2 linked regions of the Drosophila melanogaster genome follow. The protein of the gene in region 1 interacts with the protein of each later gene in a pairwise test. Each region holds a gene or a part of one and is shown on either strand. Other genes may lie near its edges. The genes, in order: Chc and BicD.

Region 1 (5,200 bases):
GCTGGATCGTCTGTGGCGTACGCAGAATGGCCTTGGGTGCCAGGGCAGCAACTTTAGCCGCTTCAGCATACTGGCCGGCTGTAAAGAGCTTGTTGAACTTTCGCACAAAGAGATCTTCGGCACCAGCCAAATTGTTGCGCACGGCCATGCGAAGGGCCAAATCGGGATTCTGCAGAACGGTGTTGATGTAGGGAATGATCTGCTCCTCGTCGACGGTCACGGAGAGGACCTGTCCCTTGCGATTGACGCCAATGATGCCACCACTTGCCTCATGCGGTGCGGTAACAAAGATCGTATCGGCCGATATACGATTCATGTATATGCACGTGGCCGTCTCCATGTCATACAGATGTATGTATCCATACTTGGTTATCAAGTAGATGGTGTCGTACTTGGCAGAGACTTGCATAGCCACAGGGAAATCATTTTGTGCTTCCGGCGGAAAGAAGACATCGACAGCCTTCTTGGCAAACGGCTGATTGCCGTTCGGCGGAGCACCAACTTCGATAATATGAAGCTTGCCCCCAGTGGCCGTACGAACTGCAAAGCAGAACAGCGTGGTCGGCTCCTTGTTGGCATCGATTTTAAACGTGGCAAAACTGGCCGCATGCCCCTCGATCGCCTGGGACACCTTACGCTCCACCGAATACAACTGCATGGCACCGGCAACGCGACTTGGCAGTGCCGAAATGCCGACCAAGAGTAGCCACTGCTGGGAGGCATTGCAGCGGTAGTTGATGATTTGACAACCGTTCAGCGATGAATGCCGGTCAAACATCTTTTGCGGCATCGAATCGCCCTCCATGGACCAATGGAACACACTCGTTTCTGTGACCAGAGCTAGCGTATTGAGGGAGATCCACTTCCAGAACACCACATCCTCGTTCATGGTATGCGCCTTCATCTTCGACTTCATCTCAATGTTGAAGATCTGCAACGTCTTTTGCGCTAAAAGAAATATTCTAAAGTTATACATGTTCAAAAATGCATTATCCCAGTCGACCGGAAAAAAACTTTGATCTCTTTCCTTACTATTTGATATTCAAGTTAAAGTTTAAGTGAGGTTTTAAGTTTTCTAGACACGTTGTAATAACAAGCGGACCTGTTTACTAAGCCTACGTTACTTTAAGCTAAAATCTGATCCTCTTCGGACATTCTGATCGACTGGACCATCGGTTTCAGTTACCTTTGAGCGCAATGACCTTGCTAGCTGGATTCATGATAGCCGAATCCGCTGAGATGGGACGCCGCGTGGGATTGGTGGCATCGTTCATGTCAATGATGACCACTTGGGCGGTATCATTCACCTTCTCCCGCACGCAAATAAACTTATCCGATTCCATCGTGAGCGTGCTGAATGAAAATGAATTGGCGTTGATCCCGACATTTGTGAGCTGTCCGTAGTGGAGATTGAAAATGTGTGTTAATTGATAAATCGAAAATCATAGCATACGCACTCATTACACAATATAATCATTCATTATTAATTATTGAACTGGCCTGGATTGACCCACATTTACTATTAAATATTCGCAATACTTTGCTTAAGTTTAGATGTAAATTTGTATTATAACTAGTTCTATAGAAAATACACTGTATACAGACTTGAATAGAAGGTATAGCAAAGTAGAAACTCGACCTAAGCCCCCATATTTTCTGTTTACACGTTGAATTAGAGCTGGAAACCGTGAAATTTTCATAAGAAAAGTGGGGAGCTTATGAATCGGATATAATCGTAGGTAATCGTGGCATATTGGTGGGTTGTACGTATGTGGATATGTAATGATGGTAGATCCAAAATATTTAATATTACTCACCTGTAAATGCTCCTGAAAGCGGATGGGCAGTGGTTGCGTCATCTTTACTACTACAGTGAGGTCTAGTTATTGACAGACCTTTACAACGTAAATGTATCTTTGCGAAAACAATGCCAATACGATGTTTTCTTGAATTGCACACTTGGTAACAGTTTGTATTTGATTTGTTTCGAGGATTTATTGTTGTTTAATTGCGTTCGAGTTTAGTCGGTTTCTGGTTTAAGATTCGGTTTCCATTGGAACGTTTAGCTGCACGAAAGACAAAAGATTTTGGAAAAACATGTAGTTATGGACAGCACTGATGCGGCAAGAATGAGGAAAAATCAAATTGTGGGCGTTATTTTATTGTTGATAGAAAGTGACAGCGTCACCGGATGAAAAAATGAAAGATAAAGGCCTATATGTATGTACATATGGATGTAAACGCCCTTAAAATAAAACACCGAGTCTCTTATTGTATCCCCAATCGCTTTTGTGCAAGAAAATATATAGACGAAATTATTTCCTACGATTAATCCTTTGTATCGGTATTTTTATTCGTTTTCTTGCGTTTTTGCACTTGCCGTTACGACGGGAAAATTACCAGCACTTTATTTTATTTGAGGTGAGCGAGGGAGAGAGAGAGAGAGTGAGAGCGAATCAAGAGAGAGAATTTGAAAAGAAAAGAGGCAGCATTATCATCAAAAATCGCTGCTCACCACAGAAAAAGTCAGCCATGTTGAGTTGCGCTTTGAACAATTAGTCACTGACTAATACATGTACAGCAATTTTGCTCTTGTTTTCCCTCCCCCTGTGTGTGCATGAAAATCGAAAATCGCATTTAAATATCACTGTTTTGCGCCTGATAACAATGGGACAATGCCATGAAATTGACGAAATTCGGTGTATATACATCAAATTGAGTAGCGGTAATTCCCAATTCACACGCACACAGCAGCACTCGCGCACACACACTCACAGATGAGCGCGCACACTTGCAGTGCCGCAATATGCCACATAAACAAGAACATAATTAGATAAACGGTAAATTAATCGGATGCTTTTACATCAAATAAACAAAATTTGTATGTATATATTGCATTTGCAAGCGAACACACACACGCACTTTAGCACTTTACATTTTTTCCCAATGAATCGAAAGATATTTGGAGCCCGTATGCTTACTGCAATTTAACAAAAATGTACGCTAAGTACTATCATACTCGAAATAATCACGTCGGTTTGTTGCTAGATGACGGGCACACACACTGAAGACAAACTGAGCTCTTATCAAGCTCTAACAAATGTAGTTTATTTTTCTTTTGTTTGACTAAATACTGACTGCAAGACAAGGTAGAGGTGTGAAAGTTATACAATTAATGCCGATATATACGGCAAATATGCAATTGCGTGGAGTGAAAAAACATCGATACCACATTCAACATTCGAATCGATATTTGTATCGCACGATCCTACTGTTACACGTATTTATTCATAATATTCGAATGTAATTATTATTTAGGTAAATGTAGTATAACTTTGTAAGGAACAACAAATTTATTTTATTTTATCAGCTTCATTTATATTTTGCCGATAACAAGTTTTTAGATCATAATACATACGTAAGGTTAACAGGTGTTATCGAGTGATCCAATTGGATATATTCTCTAATTGGAAATCTATTTTTTATAGCAATTTAATTTGGAATGTGAAGTTATTATACCCGTTACTCGTAGAGTAACAGAACACACCCCAGAAAAAATTATTAAATTTCACGTTTGCACTCACACTATCTGCGTAACGGGTATCTGATAGTCGGAGAACGGGACTAAAGCATTCTCTTTCGTTAATTTTTAAAAATATATATACATTAATTATCTTGCTTAAGTGCTGGATAATAAGTAGGCGATAATTTTAACATTGTTCCTATGCAATACTATTTTTAAGTAGGCGATGATTTTAACTTTGTTCTTTTTCAATACTATTTTTGACATTTACACTCAATGTGCTACAGAAACAACAACTTTAGGATTTGCTCCAAACATTTTTTTTATTGTTTTTATCATTTGGAAAACCGAGTCCCAACAATAAAATCTTAATCTATGAGGTAAGCAGCAGTATCCGATTTTGAAGCACCTTTTGGCGATAGAATCTATACCGTCTTGACTTGACTGATCAAGGGCATGACAAAGGATGGGGCAAGGAGCTAGACGAATATTGCGGGCGTCCCGCTCGCAGATTTGCGGTAGTCTTCGAACGGGCGAAGGGTCCAGCACCTCAGCAAGTTGTCGAAAAGGTACACATAATCATTTTTGTCCTGCAGGCACAAAAATTTGGAAATTCTTTTATTAAAAGCAAAAGCGATGTCACTCTCTACCATGAGCAATCCCTTGAGGACTTCTGAAAGTTTTTCATTATTGCAGTGGTAAAAAACCCAGCTGGATTGTCCGAATTTGACCAGTGCTCGATGCTTTGGCCGTTCGCAGTCTGCCGCATTCCTGCTAGGCGTCCCACCCGCCCAGGATTCCTCAACCCAGGGCCATTGGGAGAGGATCCGTCGCTAACAGAATAAGGTAAACTGATAAACTCCTCGTTTCCCAGGGAAATTCTTTTATTAATATAAGTTTCTTCTACAGTATATACAGACGTTCTTACGACTCGGTTTTGGGATCTAGGAAGCCCAGGATAAATGGCAGAATGCTGCGGACTCTGAGCTTTGTCAATCATATTCATTTTGATAACATAAAGATACCACTAAATTCTGTTTTTATTTTTCTTCGTTTTCATGTTTACCTAGATTATTTTAATATATATTTACATTGAAACGTTGTTGTCATTCAAATAATATACCCTTCTCTGTGGGAGCCAATAATAATGCAAGTTCCAATTTTTTATACCCGTTACTCGTAAGGGTAAGATTCGTTGAAACTGGCAGAAGGAAGCGTTTCCGACCATATAATCTATATATATATATATATTCTTGATCAGGAGAAATAGCCGAGTCGATCTGGTCATGTCCGTCTGTCCGTATGAACGTCGAGAACTATAAAAGCTAGAAGGTTGAGAGTCCCAAGTTGAGATCCATGTTGCCACGCCCACTCTAACGCCATAATACAGCCCCGCCAAGATTATCGCCGTGAGGTAACGATGTAATCGAAGGATTACAGCGGCCGCGACATGGGCGCGAACTTTGTGGTGCCGGCGATGGCAGGGCGACAGGATCACACGATTCCGCCGGACAGCTGCGGGGATACCTTGGTCGGAATGCGTGGATTCGTTACGATTTCCAGGACATTTGGTAGCATCCACACAATGGGGTTTTGTCCCATAAAAAGTAACTGCGCAGGATGCGGTTTGTGTAACGATCACCGATCAGAGGACACTTTATGCAGCATCATATCGTG
Region 2 (5,217 bases), on another chromosome or scaffold:
AAATTTTTTGCGCCTGGGGCTCTTTGGAAAATACCCAGTTAATTTCAGTAAGCTAATTTCCAACCCAAGACGGAAACTTGGCCCTCCTTCGCTGCCGTCTGCCCGCTGATTTATGTCACTTTATGCTGGGGTCGCCCGAGGCAGATATCTTGATTGCAAGTGGAAATATGTCGCCCAGTCTCCACATAGCTTCCTTTAAACCTCACCCCTTTTTTTACACTTTTGTGGGGACACAGAAAATGCCCGCAGTGACGTGGTCGTCGACGTTGCTATTATTTTTTTTGTAATTTTTAAGCATCCATTATAAATGTGTGTGTGTGGGTGGAGGGTTCTTTTGGCCTCGCACTCATTTTTTTATTTGTGTTCTCGTAAAAGTTCAGTTGAGTTCAAATCCAACAAGCTGGAAACTATCAAGCTACGTTACAAGTGCACTGCCACCTGTCCAACAATTAATTGGCAGGCTTTTTGTTCGAAGCGCATAAAAATGCATGCGCATATACGTATTACGCACATACATATGCCCATTTGTAAAAAAGGTGTTACCGCCTGCATTGTGTGTGTGCGTGTGTGCAGGTGTTAACGCCCCCGTAGGATTTTAATTCCAGCTAACTTTTGTTAGCCCCATGGTTAATGGAACTTTAATTGCACTGTTTGCTAATTGGGGATACTTAAAGAATATGAACTATATGTTTACACCAAAATCAAATCTAAAAATAACAAATGATTTTGTTAATTTGCGTAATACAGTAAACATGTGTATAATTGTTCTGATCTTTATTTAACCAGTTGTATTTACTGTATGCTTTATTTACCCTTCTCCAACAAAATCGGCCTAAACCAACGTTTTCTTTTGGCAACAAGCAAAACAAACCAAAAAGGAAGCTTGTTGGGACACCAGTCGGAAAAAGCCAAAGCACGAAATGATAATAGACGGCTGAATGAGTATAGACTGCTTCCCCCATTTGATTTTTACCGAGGAAAGGACACAACTTTTCCCTGCCGTCTGGTAATGCAGTTCAGAGCCCGACAATCCACGGCCTGTGAAAATTCCAGAGGAAATGCCAGGCGATGACGAGGACTAATTGGAAAGGAAGGTTGGTGGTAAGAAGAAAAGGAGGAGTTGGATGTGGAAGTGGAGGTAGTTGGGCACTGAATAAAGGTGCAAAATGAAATGGCAAGAGTAGATTGGCCGTGCTGCAATCGGCCAACTGAAAGCTGAGATAATTTTTATAGGCCAAAACAATGTTTATGCCAAATTGAGCGTGATCAGTGGAGACAAGATAAAGATAAAAAAACAAAGAAAACATAATTTTGAAACAATGAAATAATTCTGCCAGCCAAATGCATTTTAAATGTTTAAGTGTTTTCAATCAAATCAAATGAGAATGCTATAGTGTTAACTTTAAAGATCGCTTTATGATTTGAACAACACATATCATCTAGGATCACTAGAATAATGGCATCGCATGGCTTTTTTTGGCCTTTATACTGACGGACAGAAGGACACTTGGCTAGCGATTATGATCTATGATAAACATACATAAATACTTTTTGCGGTCGTAAAGGCTTTCTTTCAGCTGTTAAGTTGTGTTTTTCATTTTTTAGTTTATTTATTGTTTTGTTTAGCGGACTGAATAGTATCTTCAATCGACCCAAGCGGTTCCACTGTATTTAAAGGTATACAAAACAACAGCACGTGACCATATGGCCAAGCCAGTTTCCGATTTCATGATCAGAGAGCGAATCCCAATTATTTCTGCTAGACCAGACCAGACGGACTTTGCAGAGCGATAGGTAGACTCGCCGAAAGAGAGTCAAACTGGCCAACAGGTGAGCGAGTTAGTTTGCCAGCAAGACAAATTGTTGGCCGTTGTGGAAAGGTTTTCTCTGTCTAAATATGTAGGTGTGTGTGCCCCAAGGTGTGTGTGAGTACGCGAGTGGGCCAGCTGGGCGATAAGCGGCGACTGCTTGGAAACAGATCGAAAAACATAGCAACAGAGGGGGCCAAATTGGCGGGTTACTATATAACCCATTGGAGCATTTAAAAACTGCGAAGAATTGTAGGCAAACTTACCTCCTGTGTGATGTCCAGTTCGTGGCGCGTGTTGTCGTAGAGCGTCTCCAGTTCCTCGCACTTCTGCTGCAGGGCGGACTTCTCCTCCAGCAGGGACAGTCCGTACTGGGCGGACTGGGCGCTGGCGGAGGACACCTGGTCCAGTTCGCGCGTGAGGCGCTCCACCTCCATTTGCAGGTCTTGCACGGATTGGTCCGCCGATGGGCCGTTGTTGCTGGCGCTGGACATGATGATGGATGGATGGTGTCCTTAGTGGTCGGGGGAGGGGGTGATGGTGTGGGTGTTGGTGGACGGTACAGCTGCCCGTGGGCAGGTGAATCTCCTCGTTGTTGCTGTTGATGCTTCTATCCTGGGCGGAATCTTTTCGATACAATTTTATGTTTTGGAGGGAAATCGATAGAAGTCGATTTGTATATGCCGCACTGTTTTGTTGTACTTCAGTGCTTTTTTTAAAATAATTTTTTTTATCGAAACCCCACACTCACACAACTCCACTCGCGGTGTGCTTTTTGCGTGTGTGTGCGTGCGTTTCACCTTTTCTCTTTTCCGTTTGAATGCGAACGTGTGTGTGTGTGTGTGGAATGGTATCGCTGCGGGTTTTCTCCTCTCTTCACTCACCGCGCTAAATTAGTAAATTAAACAGCGCTTAATGGCCAATTAACCGTGGGCTTTTAACGGCAAATAATTCTGCACTATATTTATATATGCCTGTAAGTCACACACACACACCAGCGCACTGCCGTACGCACACATAGGCGCGTATAAAACAGTTGGCAGCAGAAACTGAAAACGCAGCGCAGGAAGTTGTTTCAATTAACTCGAAAAGAAACAGCCGAAATGACATCACACAATTTCCCCTTTCCTTTCGTTCGCTGGCAAAGTGGGAGTTTTTCCCATTTTCCCTGCACTTTCCCCGTTCGCACGACTGCTCTTCGCGTATTCTCGTTATCCGTTGCACAATTGCGGCGTAGACGGCTAAATGCGGTATATATCAGGCCCAATCGCTGCGGTCGTCGATGGAGTCGAAATTTTCAAGCAAGTGCAAAAACAAAATTTTGTCCGCAATCACGTCGATTCTTGGCAATGTTTGTGACGGAATTTCAGTGCGACCGCAGGCAAAACTTTCGATAATGCGGAGAGGTGTGGAGAAAAGCGTTAAGAATGCGCTTAGCTCGGACCCAAACCTCGCGTTGGTAATAATAATCGCGTTTCCACTACTAAGGGTATGATTTTATTTAAAATGCTTGAAGCAACAGATTTATTTTTATATAAAAATATATAATATAAATATAATTTAAGCTGAAACCAAAGTTTGTAAACAGCGTCAGCATTTCCCATACTATCAGAATGTTCGATATATGTCTCAAAAGTTATCGGGCCATGTAGCACATCGATACTCGATTTTATATTCACATTTCGCCTAATCACATTTACTTTTCAACTTGTCTGTCGATCGAAATTAAGCGAACAGAAATCTAAAGCATAACCAAAATGCCGGACGCAGTGCAGCAGAGTTTCGTGCGTAGCTTCATTGACTACCTGAAGAAGCAGGGGGACGTGATGTCGCCGGACCAGACCGAAAGCATCGAGGTGGCGATCCAGTGCCTGCAGGCGGCCTTTGACTTGGGCGATGATGTGGAGGCAGCGCCGGCTGCGGCTGGTGAGGAGCAGGCCACCACACAGAGCAGCAGCACTGCGAGCGCACCGGACGATGATGCGGTGGCCAGCGGAAGTGCTGGTATCGGCGCCGCCGCCGCCGCCGTTCCCAATAACATTGACATGTTCGAGCTCTTCCAGTCGCTGTATACAGAACGCAATCCGGAATCCCTGGCCCTGGCCGAATCCATCAAGAACGAGGGCAACCGGCTGATGAAGGAGAACAAGTACAATGAAGCACTGCTGCAGTACAATCGTGCCATCGCCTTCGATCCCAAGAATCCGATCTTCTACTGCAATCGGGCTGCGGCCCACATCCGGCTGGGTGAGAACGAACGCGCCGTAACCGATTGCAAGTCCGCCCTGGTGTACAACAACAACTACAGCAAGGCGTACTGCCGCCTGGGCGTGGCGTACTCCAACATGGGCAATTTCGAGAAGGCGGAACAGGCCTACGCCAAGGCCATCGAGCTGGAACCGGACAACGAGGTGTACAAGAGCAACCTGGAAGCGGCCAGAAACGCCAGGAACCAGCCGCCCCAAACGGGGCGATTAAGGGAAGACCTAATCAACATGCTGTCCCAGCCAATGGTTAGGAATTTGTTCAACAACGCCGAGATCGACGTGGAGCAGCTGCTGTCGATGCTTCAGAATCCAATGATCATGAACACCATTCGCCAGCAGTTCGGCGGCGGCAATGCCCCGACCCTGCCCAATGACATGGTGCAAATGATCTATAACATGACCAGCCAATTGACTGGCTTTCCCAATTCGAACGCAAATCCTGGCAATGAACAGCAGCCGGGCAATCAGCCACCACCGAGCACCTAGAAGTGGATAGAATCCCGATCCCCGATCCCTGCCTGGATCGGCGGCACACAGATTAAGTTGTTAAGCTGAAACTATAAATGTATTTATAATGTTTAAATGGCTTCTATTACGCATACATACATACATACATATACATTTTTATCCAATGGAAATAAATAAATGACCGTGCAAATTGCCGCTGTTCCAATCGAATTTTCAATGAATATTAAATATATATATTATAATGCCTCATATATTTTTCTAGTTGCCCGTCGTTAACAAAATTAAACAAGTATATCACACAGTGCATGTAATTTAATGTTGCTTTTATTGAATTCAAGAAATGTATGCTAGGGGTTTTTTTTTTGCTGATTTGCATCTCTAAATGGTACAATTGTTAATTTGATATTACATGTCAAATAAAAACTAATGGGTTTAAAACAAATGCCGATCTGTCGCAAACAGTTTGTCGCTTGAAAATCATTATCTTCAAAGCGGTCAACTTGAAAGTAGGTTTTATATTGATATTCGTTCACTTGGTTATTGGTATAATCTTATATTTATGCGTTTGACAGAATTGAAGGTAAAAACAGGAGTGATATAAATTTCAAACAATGCCAGCGCCTTTCTTTTGGGAAATGTATGAAAAGAAGGCGTGGCGTGTTTTGGAAAATTGC

What was found.
Region 2: the proteins of Chc (region 1) and BicD interact in binary tests that used the Drosophila melanogaster proteins (3 or more experiments, as listed by UniProt).

What each region holds. Positions count from the first base shown.
Region 1 is NC_004354.4:15,832,306-15,837,505, forward strand, and holds the start of Chc (clathrin heavy chain), read right to left. Parts: upstream 3,186-5,200; 5' UTR 2,982-3,185; exon of another isoform or gene 2,923-2,981; intron 2,608-2,922; exon of another isoform or gene 2,516-2,607; intron 2,450-2,515; exon of another isoform or gene 2,327-2,449; intron 2,067-2,326; 5' UTR 1,860-2,066; coding exon 1,818-1,859; intron 1,395-1,817; coding exon 1,187-1,394; intron 949-1,186; coding exon 1-948. UniProt on the Drosophila melanogaster protein: Clathrin is the major protein of the polyhedral coat of coated pits and vesicles.
Region 2 is NT_033779.5:17,470,023-17,475,239, forward strand, and holds the start of BicD (bicaudal D), read right to left. Parts: upstream 3,194-5,217; 5' UTR 2,303-3,193; coding exon 2,075-2,302; intron 1,831-2,074; exon of another isoform or gene 1,581-1,830; intron 1-1,580. Other genes in the region: Sgt (small glutamine-rich tetratricopeptide containing protein), read left to right, coding at 3,566-4,561. UniProt on the Drosophila melanogaster protein: This protein is essential for differentiation. It may play a role in localizing of Nanos (a maternal determinant) activity in oocytes. Functions redundantly with BicDR.